2 linked regions of the Pelodiscus sinensis genome follow. Each later gene encodes a partner of the first gene's protein in a complex. Links are inferred from orthologs where the notes say so. Each region holds a gene or a part of one and is shown on either strand. Other genes may lie near its edges.

Evidence for each region.
Region 2: the proteins of IFFO1 (region 1) and XRCC4 are in contact, whole or in part, in a crystal structure (PDB 6ABO), measured with the Homo sapiens proteins. The link is inferred for Pelodiscus sinensis from reciprocal best matches to the Homo sapiens genes IFFO1 and XRCC4. Residues at the interface, in NP_001317253.1 of Homo sapiens: Arg469, Glu470, Tyr473, Ile477, Gln479, Ile480, Glu481, Glu483, Leu484, Ala487, Lys488, Asp490, Met491, Arg493, His494, Leu495, Tyr498, Met501, Lys505, Leu508, Asp509, Met512, Cys515, Arg516, Leu518, Ile519, Thr520, Gln521; in NP_001304941.1 of Homo sapiens: Trp155, Val158, Gln159, Phe162, Glu163, Cys165, Val166, Lys169, Glu170, Glu173, Leu176, Tyr177, Phe180, Val183, Leu184, Lys187, Lys188, Lys190, Ile191, Leu194, His195, Lys197, Leu198, Ala201, Ala202, Arg205, Glu212.

The regions. Positions count from the first base shown.
Region 1 is NC_134711.1:138,774,625-138,782,718, reverse strand, and holds the start of IFFO1 (non-homologous end joining factor IFFO1), read right to left. Parts: upstream 3,047-8,094; 5' UTR 2,942-3,046; coding exon 2,226-2,941; intron 1-2,225. UniProt on the Homo sapiens protein: Nuclear matrix protein involved in the immobilization of broken DNA ends and the suppression of chromosome translocation during DNA double-strand breaks (DSBs).
Region 2 is NC_134716.1:79,416,343-79,423,585, reverse strand, and holds the start of XRCC4 (DNA repair protein XRCC4), read left to right. Parts: upstream 1-4,182; 5' UTR 4,183-4,329; intron 4,330-7,243. Other genes in the region: TMEM167A (protein kish-A), read right to left, coding at 4,043-4,045.

The DNA.
Region 1 (8,094 bases):
TCTCACACGGACATTCCAGCCTGTGCGACTGCAGCCCTAGGAGGGGCATACCCTTTTCAAAGGGATGAGTGGCTGATACTTGAGCTTACTATATTAGAGACCTGGGTTCTACTAGCTCTGATCGCAATGACACTGGGCAGCCTCCCTGTTACCTGCTCTCCAACAAGGGGCTGCCGGCCCCTAGGAAAGGCTCTAAGCCTGTGCTGCTTAACGATACTATGTATGAAATGCACTGACAGTAGCAGGCCACAGAAGAGGAGACATACTCCTGAGCATCTGTTTCCTAGTCTGGTGCTCCTTCCCCTGAGTATCAGTCTCCTCCCTCTCCTGTTCCACACACAGCTCACAGCACTTCAGTTTCCTGCTCCACAGAGTTAAAAAGAAAGCCTAACTATTTGGCTCTTGGCAACTGACAACTAGTGGTTAACAGGGGCAGTTCAGAGCAATATGTTTATGTGGATACTGCCCATCATTTTTTCAATTGATTAAAGAATGCCCCAAAAGCATCACAAGCAAGAGCTTTTTTTTTTTTTTTTTTTTTTTTAATTCACAAGTCATTTGGCTGTGGGGGAGGAGGGGAAGAGATTAATATTCCTACAGTCCTTTTAAAGGATATTAAGTATAGACTAATTGACTAATCAAATAGTCCATGAATTTTGCATGGACCATTCGATTAGTCAATAGGGCACCTCAGCCTTTGAGTGTAGCAACAGCGCTAGAGCTGTTGTTACACTTCAAAGGTAAAAGCGCTGCATGGAGCCCAGGGTCAGCTGGGGACTCCCTCACTGATCACAAACTCTGTGCAACGCTGCTCTTTGAAACACCGTGAGGAGCCCGACGCTGGGCTCCCTGTGGCGTTTCAAAGTGGCAGCACCACACAGAGCCCGGAGTCAGTGGGGAAATCCCCAGCTAATCCTGGGCTTCATGTGGCGCTGCCGCTTTGAAATGCTGCATGCAGCCTGGGGCCACCCCAGCTGGCCCCTGGCTGCATGTGGTGCTTCAAAGCGGCAGCGCTGCATGGAGCCTGGGGTCTGGCCCCAGGCTTCAAGCAGCACTGCCACTTTGAAGTACCCTCTCTTCTCCCCCCATTGCTGCCTCTTTCTGATAGAGGCAGCAAAGGGGGGGGGGAGTGACTAGTCGACTAGCCTGTCGACAATCCAATAAGCATTGGCTTATCGGATAATTGACTAGTCCTTCACATCCCTAGTCCTTTAGCCAAGTTACTCCAAGTTTGCATCCAATTCTCCTATGCCCTGAACTAAAACCAGCTTGTTTTCAGGCTGATCTTATTAAAGAGGTAGATTTTAGAGCAGTTTAAAACTTGGTTTTAAATAGAAATGTCGTTGCCACTTTGTAAAGTAAGGACTTCCCAATAATATTAAAAGGCTCCCCGAGAACTCTGTGCACAAGCCAACCACTCGCTCTAGGGGGGCAGGAGGAATGTTTCCCTGGGACAGGTTATCCCATCACTGCCTTCTGCAGGGTTTCCTGCACCTGCCTCAGAGACAGCTGGTGCTAGATCACGGACTAGATATGCTACAGGACTATGTTCTGATATGAGGTTTGGGGAGAAAGGATAGGGAGAAATGGGGTAAAGTGGACAGTTTGTCACGTGTGGTCCCTTGTCTTTGACACTGAATTGCCATGGTCTTGGGCTCTTTGTCGTCACCTTTAAACTGCCTCTCCTCTCTGACTCCTCCTCAGCCCATCTCCCTGCTCCCCATTGCCCTTGCAAGCCCAATCTCCTTACCTGCGGTATCATCTCTCACACAGTTGCTAACTCTGTTTTTTTTCTTAAAGCCCCAGCTCCTGGAGTCATTCAGAAGCTTCCATTAAAGCAACAAAAAGTTTCAGCCCCTCATCGCTGGAGTTAAAAGCTGGAGAATGTGGCCTAAATGCACCATGGAGCTAAACAAAAGGAGCCCAGCTTTGATCATTTTTCAAGTTTTCATGATCTATTTCTTGATCTCATGAATGTGGGGACCGGATTCGTGACTCTGGGGGCTTGAGTGTGCAATCTACACCCCCCTTCTCCCTTTGCCACCTCACTGCCCAGACTCTCCCACCTGTGCCAGGAGTCCCTTGCCCACCGCCTCTGGGCACTGCCCTGCAAGTCTCCCCGTCAGCGGCAACCTTGCCTCTGCGCGATCTCCCCGCGCATCCCTGGCTCCCAGGTGTCCCGACCTGCCCCCGCCCTTGCCCGGGACTCTCCCTGCGCCTCTCACCTGCGTTTGTACTCGTCGCGCTCCCGCTTCACCTTGGCCAGCACATTGTAGAGGGCCCGGATCTCCGGGGTGATGGTGTCGATCTGGACGCCTACCCCGTCGGGGTGAACCCACGAGAGCCCGGGCCCCTGCACCAGGGTGGTCTCGGGCCCCGGGCCCAGCCGCCGGGCTTGCGAGAAGGACCAGATGGTGCCGGGCATGAAGCGGGAGGAGGCTGAGAAGGGGCCGGCGGCGGCGGGCTGGGACGAAGGGGCGAAGGGCAGCCCGGGGTGGCAGCTGGGGGAGCCCACCCCCCTGGAGGGGGCGCTGAGCCCGGCCGGCCGGGCGCTGCCCAGGGCCAGGCCCAGCGGGCGGATGGGGCTGACGACGCTGGTCTGCACAGCCTGGTCCCGGCGCGGGACGCCCCGCGAGCGGCCGCCCCCCTCCTCCAGCGCCTGCTGCAGCTGCTTCTCCAGCTGCCGGTTCCTGCGCTCCAGCTCGTGCACCTTGGCCAGGAAGCAGCGGAAGCGCAGGTTGAGGGTCTTCAGCACGCTGATGTTGGAGCCCAGGTCGTTGCGCAGGGCCATGGCGGCGGGGGGCGCCGCGAACGGGGGCGCCGCGGGAGCGGGGCCCAGCTCGCCGCCGAAGAAGTCCCCCAGGGGCGGCGGCTCCGGCTCGGCCAGGCCCTGCTGCTCCTGCTGCAGCAGGAAGAGGTTGGGGCCGAACAGCGGGTTCATGGCGGCGGCGAGCCCGGCCGGAGAGAGGGGCCGGGGGCCAATCAGGGCTGCCGCGGCCAGGCGAGCGCAGGGAGGGGGCTGCGCAGGGAGCGGGGGGCGGGCTGCGCTGCGGAGGGGCGGGGAGCGGGACTGCAGCAGCAGCAGCGGCGCTGCGGGCCGGGCTGGCACCGTACGTGGAAGTCGGAGACGGGAGGGGAGGCGAGGAGAGGGGAGGGCCACAACATTTTGGCACGTGAGGCAGGGAGCTCAAATGACGCCCCATGATGCCCCCTCGCTTGGGCCAACACTTTGAAAGGTCTCAGTGCTGCCTGTTCTACTCCTCACATGGGGCTGCTCTGCTACCTACGTCTGCACCATCAGCAGACACAATTTTCTACACTCTGGGTCCTAGTGGCTTCCCCCACCCCCCACAGTCTGGCACCTGAGGCCGCCCCCTCAGTTTGCCTCACGGTAAGGCCAGCACTGGGAGGGGAGCGCAAAACCGGGCAGCAGAGTGGGGAGATGGACCTCTTCTCCTTGGGGTGCTTCATGCACAGTGCCCTGCTCGAGACAGGCCTGTCCTCTTCCTTGCACAGGGGCTCTTCAGCCCCTCAGGGCTCGGGCAGATCTAGCCTAGCTTATATTCCAGGATCAGAGGAACAGGGTGGCTGTGTCCAGCTTTGACACTGGCTGGCTGGGTGACCTTTGGAAAGTCACTTAATCCATGCCTCAGTTTCCCCAGTTGCAAACTAGGGCTTCAGTCACTAATGACATGATCACAGGCTATCCCCCCCCCCCAAAGGACCCCATCTCACACAGTGCACCACTTGGACTGTGTTCATTAAATGAGCCAGATAATAGATTTACTCCATGTCATTATACAGACACAGGCCTCATTCACTACATGCTAGGGATGTAAAATCCCACTCAATCAGTTAAATGGTTAATCAGGATCCCACTGGTGGGGAGCTGTTCCAGCCAGTTGGGACCCACTGCACCCTACCCCGGCTCAGCCAGAATAGAGCACCCCCAGCTTGTGGCACAGGGGACTTGGCTGTGCTGAAGCAGCCCCTCAGTTACTGGTAAGGGTGATGCTTACTGGTTAGATCCTGATTACATGCTGTTCAAACCCTTTTCTTAGGGCAAAAATTATTTATTTCCTCATAGTTTTTTTTGCAGCACTTATCACTACAGTATCTAAATGATTCACCAACTTTATCTTTACAAGGCCCTGTCGGATGAAGGGGTTTGCAGATAGGGGACTAAGACACAGAATTTTAAGTGCCAGATTTGAGATACTTAGGGACTGATTTTTCAGAGTACTTAAAAGTCGGGCACTTCTGCAAATGAGTCCCAGGACATGAGGAGCACACAATTAGCAACCACCTGGGAAAAGTCTGATTACTATGACTTACTCAGTAGCACACAGAAGCTAGACTAGAACTCCCCAAGGTAGTGTTCAGCTGCCTTAAGTTACCATGAGACCAACCTCTCTCTTCTTGCAGTCCTTCACCTTTGTGTCACACCTATTTTCTGAAACAAATGAAATGGGGTTCTGCAGACAGTCTCCTTCACCACACAGAACAGAAACAAGTTATTCAGCAGATGCATCTGACACAGTGGGTCTTTGCCCACAAAAGCATATGCCCAAATAAATCTGTTAGTCTGCTACAGGACTCATTGTTTTTGCAGATACAGACTTACTTGGATACTTGTCTCATGGAACAGGTCCATCATATACACTAAATAAGGCAGTGAATCCACATAATAGTATGTGATCACATAATTACAAGACTGTACCATAATGCATGTGCTTAAAGAGCAGGGTTAAAGTCATACAGACAGTCTTAAATATGGCACTTTCTAACATGTATTCTTGGCTCTGCAGCCTTAAAAATATTCTTTTATCAGCTGCTTCTGTTGACTACTTGCTCATTAATTTGTCAGTTTGCTACAAAATTTTTTTTTTTTTGCAGTCTCAAGCTTTGACATCTTTAGCATTATTACCACAGAACAGAAGGTATCTCGCAACATCCGCTGTGGTGAAGTCTTAGCCAAGGAAATCACATGCATCCCTGTACGGTCGCAGCTGGCCCCTGAAAATGACACAAATCCACACCCTCATGCCAGGCAGAACAAGTACAATTAAGAGAGCAGGGTAGCAGCTGTGGACTATGAAGGACCAGGGAAAACCTACAAGGTGGGAGACCTGGTGAAGTAGGGCTGGAAGAGTTTATCAGTCTCTACAGTCCCTCTTGGATAAAGGGGAATTTCTCAGGAAACCAGGAGAGGGGCTAGCCTGTAAGAGCGAAGGTCAGTGCCAGGAGGCTGAAAAGGGCTGCAGCTTAGGAAGCCAGCGAAACGAATATCATCCCTAATAGATAGACCAACTTGACTTTATAGCATAAAGCAGCACTTAGACATTTAAGCTGAATTCTTTAATGCCGTGGTACTGAATTCACAAGGGCAAGTCTGTATGATGTAAAAAGAGGATCAGGAACCAAACAAGCAAGCCAAGGCTTGAGCAGAACCCCGCCCTTGCACCATGTGGGCCTGACTGCAGCTAGGGACCTACGGCAGGAAGGCCTGCAGAGAAGAAGTTCCAGCAGGGACTCGACCAAATTACCAGTGCTGAGGGGTGTATTATGCTGGGGAATGGGTCAGGTCTCAGAGGAAGGTCCCAGAGGGCCCCCCCGCTTAGGGCACTCACAGGATGATCCAACATGGAAAACTGGTTTGTCTAAGGCAGTGCTTCCCAACATTTTTTATATCACGAACCAGCAAACCCATTCACAAACTTTTGGTGGACTGGTAACATGTTATTTGCATATTCATTATGCAGATAATGAATATGCAAATAATGTTACTTAGAGGTCATCAAGTTCAGCTCCCTGCCCAAGGCAGGACCAATCACAACTAAATCAACTTAGCCAGGGCTTTGTCAAGCCGAGACTTTCTTGTCCACCAACCCACTCACCCGGTTTTGTCACTGCACATCCCTCTGCCTCCAATCCCAGAACCCTCTGACCCCATCCAGCCAAGCCTGGTATTCTGTGACTCTATCATTAAACCTGCCAAACCCATCATCTGATATCCCTTATATCCCACTAACGGTAACCCCATTACCTCACAAGTCTGCCTTGCCAAACCTGTCACCCCAGTGCCCACCATCTCCCACTTCCCAGAAACCCCTGCTGCCAACTTCCTTTGGTCAAGCAGCTCTGTCTTGCCTGGAGCCCGTCCTGCCGTCATTACCATTCTTGGTGCGCTGTGTCCCAGCAATCCCTGACCAACAGACAACCTCCCATTTCCCTGGCTCCCATACCCTTCCTCCACTCCCAGATCCTGCCCCCACTACCCCTGGTGCCCCTCGCTCCACAAACCCCGACCGCCCGTTCTGCCAAACCCTGATCCTGCCCCACTGACCCTGCAACTGCCTGTTGCACAAGCTCGGAGGCCCCCAACCCTGCTCAGACTCCCTCAGATCTGCTGCCCCCTGAAACAGGAGCATGAACTGCACTGCACCTGGCTCCATAGCCACTGACCTATTGCAACCTACCCCCTCTTGCCCTCTGACCTGTAACCCCTGACCTCCCTCAGCCCCAACCATGCCCCTTGCTCCTCAGTGCCTAACACCCTTTAACCTCCGACTCCTACAGCCCATGCCATCAACCTCTTGCCCCACGACCCCACCACACCCTCACCCAATACCCCTTTGGCCCCACCCTCACTCCCCAGAGTGAGGCTGCCCCCTCCAGGAAGCATGGCTGTTACTGCTGCATGGGCAGAGGGAGCGGCTGTTGGCAGTGCACCCCCTCCTTCCCCAAGCACGTGTTGTGCCACCATGGGTAGAGGCAGATGGGGGGGAGAAGACAGCAGAGCCCCTGCTGGGCCACCACCTTACTCGGATGAGAGAGAGGGGAGGGAGGCGGCTCCTACTCTGCCTCTTCCTGCTGCCACCTCAGCACTGCTGGGCAAAATCAGCTGCCAGAGCTGAAGCTGGCTGCTGTGCGGCGGTGAGCCACAACAAACAGCCGGCTTCAGCTCTGGCAGCCACTGTGGCCCAGCAGCGCAGCCTTGGTCTATGGCCTGGCAGCTGGGAACCCCTAGTCTAAGGCTCAGTATGTGGGGAAGGGGAGGAAGAAACTTTAGATATTGATGGATTTTATTTCATCACCCACTGTCAGGTCAGTCCTTCCCACTAGATGGAGACTTGGGCAGGGACTCACCAAAAGCTGCACAGTTAGGCAGTCGCAGAGCTAGGAATTAAGCACAGGGCTCCTGGACACTAGACCCAGGCAGGAGAGAGAGAGACTTCACTACAGCTGTGCAAGAGAGGGGCCTCGCAGCCTTCTCTATGCTCATCAATGCAGAAAAAAAAGTTTATTAGTAAAGCTGCCTCCAAAACAAGGCCTGCTCATTGCTCAACTGGGAGAAACTGGCTCCTCTCCCCTCCTCAGGCACAAGCTCATTGCAGGGCTACTTGCAGAAAAGGTTGACAGGCACTTGGAGGAGGACAGCTGCCTGGCTCTATGCAAAGGTGAGTAGTTGTCCAGCAGAAGCATCTCCCTCCCATCCTTTGCTGGCCCTACAGCAGTGGGGGAGCGGAGGAGGCAAACGAACCAAGCTGTCCAACACGGACTACAGGGTAGCCCCACCGCTGGCCCAGGAGAGAAAGGGGCACGAGGAAAGGATTTGGGGTGGGCAACAGCCAATGGGAAGCGGGAAGAGTGTTAGAATAAGGGCAGGACACCAAGCAAAGAGGCACAGGAGGGAGACTGAGGTGGGGACAGAACAATAGAAGGCAAATGGGGAGGGAGAGGCCACAGTGGCCTCTACTGCAGCACAAGAACAAGTGGCAACTGCTGAACATTTGCGGCTGGATCCAGCTACAGGCATTGAGCTGAAATAAATCTCTGCCTTAGATGCACACAGGGTGGGAGAGATTTTGATCAAGTTTAAAATCTTTAATGAATCAGCATCTATCAATCCAGTCCCCCAACCAAAGGGGGGCGGGAGGGGCACAGTGAATTGCCAGAATAAAACACAGCTCCCTCACAAGGGGCAATGGCAGTCCCAGACACACGCTGCTGAAGCAGTCATCTGCATGAGATGGGGGCAACAACACTCCAGGGATGGAAGCAGGAGAGTCCCTCGCCTTTGGCTTTCCAGGA
Region 2 (7,243 bases), on another chromosome or scaffold:
GCGTCTCCCTGGTCTGCTGGGGTGGACGCAGCTAGTGCCCCCCTCAGCAGACCAGGGAGATGTGGAGCAAAGCCCGGGGCCTGTGGTAGAGCAGGTGGGGCGCTGCCGGTTGGTCCCACAGCACCGCTCCTTGGCGCTACTGGACCAACCTGGCAGCACCCCAGCTACTCTGCCCCAGGAGTCCTGATTCAGCCGCTGCTGATCAGTTTCAGCAGTGGCTGAATCAGGACACCTGGGGCAGAGCAGCTGGGGTGCTGCTGGGTTGCTCCAGTAGCGCCAAGGAGCAGCCGCACTACTGGACCAACCCAGCAGCACCTGAGCTGCTCTGCCCCAGGCGTCCCCAAATTAGCCGCTGCTGAAACTGACCAGCGGCTGACTACAGGAAGCCCGAGGCAGAATTGCTCCGCCCCGGGCTTCCTGGAATCAGCTGCTGATCAGTTTCAGCAGCAGCTGACTTGGGGACGCCTGGGGTTCTTAAGTTGAATCTGTATGTAAGTCAGAACTGGTGTCCAGATTCAGCGGCTGAATCTGGATGCCAGTTCCGACTTACATACAGATTCAACTTAAGAACAAACCTACAGTCCCTATCTTGTACGTAACCCGGGGACTGCCTGTACACGTTTAATCAAGAAGGGGAGCCACTTTGCAGAGCTGCAACGTGGGTGGCTCCCAGACCCAGTGCAAGCTGGAACTGAGCAGTCCCAGCTCGCGCTGGCTCTGGGACTGCTGCACCTCTGCATTTTAAATGTAGTAAGAGTCCAGCAGCTCTTACTACATTTAAAGTGCAGAGGCACAGTAGTCCCAAACTGGTGCAAGCTAGGACTGCTTGGTCTCAGCTTGCACGGGGTCCAGCAGCCCGTTTGCGGTAGTCCAGACTGGCCATGGACAGGAGCTGCTGCCAGAGCAGCCGGGGCCACTGTGGGCAGAGGCTACTTCGTGGTAGCCTCCCCTATTGCCCCCTCCACCACCCTGCCTCTGATAGAGGCAGGGGCAGGCGACACTGCAGAGACAGTTCTGGGGGGAACTAGCTCCCCACAGCCCCCATTTCCCCCAGCCTTGCTGCCTCTTATACAGAGGCAGCAAGGTGAGACAGCAAGGGCGGAGGGAAGCGAGTAGTCAACTACCCAACTTGACTACTCACTTATATCCCTATCACAAAACAGATTCAACAGCTGGTTAGGGAGTTCCCTCCAATAAGGGAACACCTATACACAGCTGGGGATCTGGCCAGACTGCGCTGTACTTTGATAATTCTTGGACTAGCCCTGTGTAAGCACCATGTGTAATTTAAAGCAGGCTCGAGGATCCTCTAAAACAGGCTGAGGGCCAGAAGGGCAACTAGCAGCCCTGGGGATCAGGGGAACACAAAGGTGGCTCAAAGTATTTGCATTACCCTGATCCCAAAAGCACCAAGGATCAGTCTGCCATAGCTGGGAAACTGAAGCCTGATGTTATTCTGATATCTCACTGATTACACTATATCCAAATGTAGAGGTTTCCAGTTCACAAGGTTTTTATTATTAACAATATATGGTTGCAACATAGAAGTACCAGGTGGGTAAAATACTCCAGCCCCCACCAATTACCAGTTAACTGAAGCCTTTCCTGTTAAGAGTGACGGTTACCAGTTAATCTTTCACATCCTTAGTTTGAGGCCCAAGATTCCCACAACAGCAACCTAAGTCAACAGACTATCCATGCCTACATTCACCACTGCAGTCAATAACCACGATCAATCACATTAACTGGCTGCTTCAGTTAAAACATTAAATAATTAAGATTGGCATTTAAAAGGCAATTATTTGACTGTAAAGTCATATTATCATATTGAGATGGATAGGAGAGTTCATAATTCACACAACTGCTGTTTTAAGCTATCTGCAGTTTCAGTAAGACAACAATTAAGTTTACCCTCAAATCATATCTGGAATGTTTTTGCCTCTCACAATCAGAAAAGTTAAAAACTTAATTACTGGCTGTTACTGACAGCTTAGTTTCTAGCTGTACAGTTTTGCAGCAAAATTTGATAGAATTGTACAATTTAAGTGATTGTGACTCGGAATGATGAGAGGCAGGTATTTAATCGAAGAGCAAATATAATTTTTACTTACTACTCAATTAGGCGATAGGCAGCCCAGCTCAATCCCAGCTCGCACTGGGTGAAGGACCAAACCTAACTTTGGCTCTGCAACTTAAAAGACAATAGGAGCTAGGGGGCTTCGGCAAGTAAATACACTCCTGAACCCTTAATGTATATATCATATACAGCTCTCTACACACATAAGCAGTAGGGAAAGGCTGCACAGGGCAAAAGCTCCAGGACCTTCACGATTTGGAAATCTTTTACTGCAACAGTGAAATACTCCCAACATTTGGGAGACAATGCTTGTCACACTAATGTTAAATATGGCCCACCTCAGGCCACTGAGGACAGAGACTGCTCTGGCACCAGCTGGCTGTGGACGGGGGATGCTGCTTGAGCAGACCCTGCCCGCTGCTAGCCCTGGCCGCCATGAACAGGGGTTGCTTGGCGGCAACAGCCCCTGTCGGGGGGGGGGGGGGGGAGGAAGGAGTCCAGCACTTCACAGCAGCATCCCTTAACCCCCTGCTGCCTCAGAGAGAGGCAGCAGAGGCAGGCTGCACCCAGGAGATGGTACTTCACTGGTTCCCCTCAGCACTGGCTCCTGCTTCCCACCCTTGCTGCCTCTTTCTGAAAAAGGCAGCAGGGGGAGGTAGGGAGCAACTAGTTGACTAGTCAGTTGCATCCCTTCTTTGCTCTATGCAGAACATGTTCTTACTTGGACTTCTGCTTTTACAGAAAAAATAATCATCTCTAGATTCCAGTTTTCTCTCTCATTTTGCACTTAAGAGCCAAATTTAATAAATTAAATGACCCTTTGATCAACATGGTTAGTTATATTTTAGGGCAGAGTTTTCAATTTTTTCCCCTTCTATTATCCTACATTCTCAAATCCATTAAAGCAACATTAGAAAAGTCAGAAAGGTACAAAAGAGCTATAGCTCTCCCAGGCTGCTGCTGAAAAGGGAAAACTTCACTTATGCTCATCCTCCAAAGTGTCAGTGTATTTTCAGAGACCATTCAACAAGTCAGGCAACAACTGCTTTGGTCTGACACACCCTGTGCCTACAAGGCACAGCCATCATAAAGATCTTGCAAAGAATGCTTACACAAGCAACTATAGACTGAACCTCTCTATTCTGGCAGCCCGCAACCTAACTAGAGCCAAACCAGAGAATTTGCAGAGCCACAGGAGGTAAATATTGTGTAGCAGCATTACCAACACTTCCACTGCTTACTGGGCTCTTAGGGTATGTTTACACTGCATTCCTCTGTCCAGAGAGGAATGCAAATGCAGCTGAGCAAAATTGCAAATGAAGCATGGATTTGAATTTCCCATGCTTCATTTGCATAATCGCATCAGGCTGCTTTTTTGAAATAGCTTTTTTTTAAAATAAGGTGTCTAGATGTGATTATTTCAAAAGGAAACCCTTCTTTCGAAATTACCATTAAACCGCCTTTTAAGGAATATATATTATGCATTGTTCTCTTAAAACCCACATTATTTTCAAGAAAAAGCAACTACTCGTGTGTTATCAAGAATCTAACAGAAAATATCGTTTAAGCACATTTATCCCTTTAAAAAAGAAAGGGCGGCAAGATCTACCTGCTGCAGACTAGCGAGTATAACCGAATACTCAGCTACACATCACGTGCTCGCGAGAGTTCTCCCGCCCTTCACCTATTTGGGTCGCTGAATGACGTCACAGGCGCGATGGCGTCACTCAGCAAGCCAGGCATTGGTGACCGAAATGAAGCATAATGGGGGGGGGGGGGAGGGCAACCACGAGACTGAGTCTCCAGCGTGGTTACTGGAACAGGGGGGCCAGGAGCGCGGGGGCCTCTGAGCAAGCGCCACAAACCAGCCGCGAGCTCCTGGGGTCGGAGCCCCTCACAGATCAGGGAAAAGGAGGGGGAAGGGGAAGGGGCTCAGCGCCGCACAACCGGCACCTTCGCGCTTACCATAGCTCCCCGCTTCTAGACACATCACACTTCCGGGAACGAGGGGGGCAGAACCGGAAGAGGCGTTACCTAATTTTCTTCTGGTTGGTCGGGGAAGTGCCGGCTCGTGACTGACAGGCGTCAGCGGAGCCTCTGCGAGTGCTGATTGGGGGCGGCGGCCAGAGGGCTGGGGGGGTGCATAACTGTACCGGCGCGCGGCAGCTGGCGGCTTTGATTGGCTGCAGCAACTCACACTCCCCCGCCCCCACCGCGGGAAGGCGGAAACGGGATCGCACAGTGGGAGCGAGGTACAGGGGGGCTGTCGGGCGCTCCCACAAGGCGCGGGCCTCCTCTTGCCTGTGCCCTGGCAGCAGACTCCCTGCGTCCGCGCTGCCGCCTTGCTGGGGCGGGCGGGGTCGTGTAACTGAGGCGGGAAAGGGGCAGGAGCCTGCCAAGGGCTGTCGGGTGGGGCGGTGGCCTCCTTCCCCTCCACCAGAGATAGGGGCGGGGAAATTTCCGTTGGTGGGAGCAGAAACGGAGGGGAACGTCCGAGGCCTCGCCCTTCTCGCCCCGTCTCCGCGGGTATAGGAGCAGTAGCATGGGGGCAATCCCAGAAGCAGTGCTTGGGTCGCGGGGCAGCGGCTGGGTCTCTCTGCTTCCCTTCCCCGCCTCCCCTTCCTCCGTACACTGACCTCTAGCAGGCGCCTGTGTAATTTTTCAAGCCCTTCTGGACTTGTCTATACTGGGAACTTGCATGGGCATCCTTCAGTGCTGTGAAATATCCACATCCTTCAATAACGTTGCCAGGCCAACCTGATCCGTGGTGTACACAGTGCGAGGTTGATGAAATAATTACTTTGCCAGTCTGGAAGGTGGCTTTACTACTACAGCAATGGGAGAACTGTCAACATAAATAATGTCTACATAGACTGAAACTACGACTATAAAGGCAATGCAATTTTTAGAAGCTGCTGTATTAGGTTTCTAAATTCTGTGTTAGCTCTCCACCCTGCACTCCCCCCCTCCCCCCCAACAGGGCATAGCTAGTTGGTTGGTAGTCTTGCTTACTTCATTGGGTCATATGCCTACTTTTACATTGACCCTATGAGTACGCTTTGTATATATGAATGAAACTTGGCCTCCTTTTGCCCTCTTAGGATAAAAAGTGCTGGATGAAAAATGAATCTCCCCTTTTGATTGTCACTGAGTACCTGTAAATGAAGAATTCTTGCTGTTGATTTCTGGGCATGTTGTTTTTAAAGTTGGCAAACAAAGATTCATATGCTTCAGAGGGGTAGCTGTGTTAGTCTGTAAGAGGAAAAATGTAAACAACAAATAGTCTGGTAGCACTTTAAAGACTAACAAAACATTTAGATGGTATCAGATTCATCTGTACAGATAGATGCAGGTCTTTACTGGCAAACAGTATTCCATTTCATTTAACTTCTGTAAACTACCCTTTTTATGGAATATTTGTCATCTGTAGAAATATCTCACCACCTCCCATTCACTTAATAAATATATTTTTGTCTTACATGTAAGGGCCTATCATTGCTCATCTTGTCACTTCCCTTCTAAGTGACCAAACTATGGATATGAAATATAAAAACTGTAATTGGATATTGTGATTAAAACCCCACCTGTCTAGTTGAAATGACAGTGGTAGCTCTAATACATTTTTGTGAGCATTTCTGTTTTAAAGGGCACATCTGATTTTTCCCTTGACTTGTTCTGTAACTCATGATAGAACGGCTTGTTATCCTATAGCAGTCAAGGTAATCTTTAAAGAGTTAGTTTATCCCATTTTGGCACCATGCCATGATACTTAAAACATTTTCCAGTGTTTGGTTACTCCTTGTTGTGTAAAGTGCGTAAAGTTTAATCATTTCATTCTAAGCATCTATTAGAAATGTGGAACTGCAGTGATGCGGTAATATCTTATTTAGTGAAGTATGATGAATCAAATAAAAAAAACATTGTTTTAAATGAAGCACCCCATTTCAAAAAAAGAACATCTTAACAATTGGTTTGGTTTTGCAGGTAAATTCAGAATGATCCTCACTGTTTACTCCTGGAAGCATATAAGACAACAGAGTAGACTTAAAAAGAAGCAGATTCATCTATCAGTCTCCTCAGCTTAGATTTTATTGCAGCTCCTGTGTGCTAATTCACTTCATTATCCTCCTTTCCTTTATGGAAATGCTACCTTGGTGGGAGCTTTAAATTTATGTGACAGACTTGGTGTGGCTAAGTTGGAAATGCTTGAATAAAGGTAATACTTATGTGTCAGAGCTATAACCCCTTTTCTCATACTTAGCTACTAAAAGGCACAAATTAATTGAAACCTTTGTAGTTTTTTAATTGTCCAGTGTGGTGATTTAGGTTATTGGCTCACTGAAGTCATTACATGCATCAGGGGGCCTGTTAGAGCTATGAAATCCATAGTGATGCTTTCATCTGACAGCTGATTTTGAAGGAGGTCTATATCTCTACCTCCATAGTCTTTGCAGTAGATAGGATTTAATTTGTGGGATCACTGTGGTGAAATAGATGTAGCCTTGTTATTTTGTGAGCAGTTAGCTTTGATCTTCTGAGAAATTTCAGTAAGACAACACTATATGTGAGAATGTAAAATTTCAGTGGAAGAGTGTGACTATTATTTTTGTGCTAAGGACTAGAGATGTAAGAGATTAGTCAACTATCCAATAATCAGAAGCTTAGCGGATAGTTGACTAGTCATGCGACTAGTCGCTTCTCCCCCTCCTCCCCCCTCGCTGCCTCTATCAGATAGAGGCAGCAAGAGGGAGAGGAGCAGGAGCTGGTGCTAGGGAGAGCCGGCTTAAAAGCTGGTTCCCCCTAGCACCGTCTCTGTGGTGGGCAGGGGAGATAGCGGCACAACAGGAAATGCCACGAGCGGGGACTGAAGCAGTCTCTGCTTGCCGCACTTCTGCTGCTATTCTACTTTTGAAATTTCAAAAGCAGAAGCCCCGCAGAGAGCATGGGGCTTCTGCTTTTGAACTGTAGCAAGAGCCTGATAGGGCTCTTGCTTCAGTGCAAAGGCACCCTTATAGACTAATTGAATAGTCAGTGGAAATCCCATCAATTGTTCAGTTTAGTTAATTAATCTAAATTTAACATCCCTGCTAAGGACTGTCACCACTGATCTGTTTTCTGAAAGGTTACTGAATAGCTGAATGTCATTTTCCCATTTCCAAGTTTGAT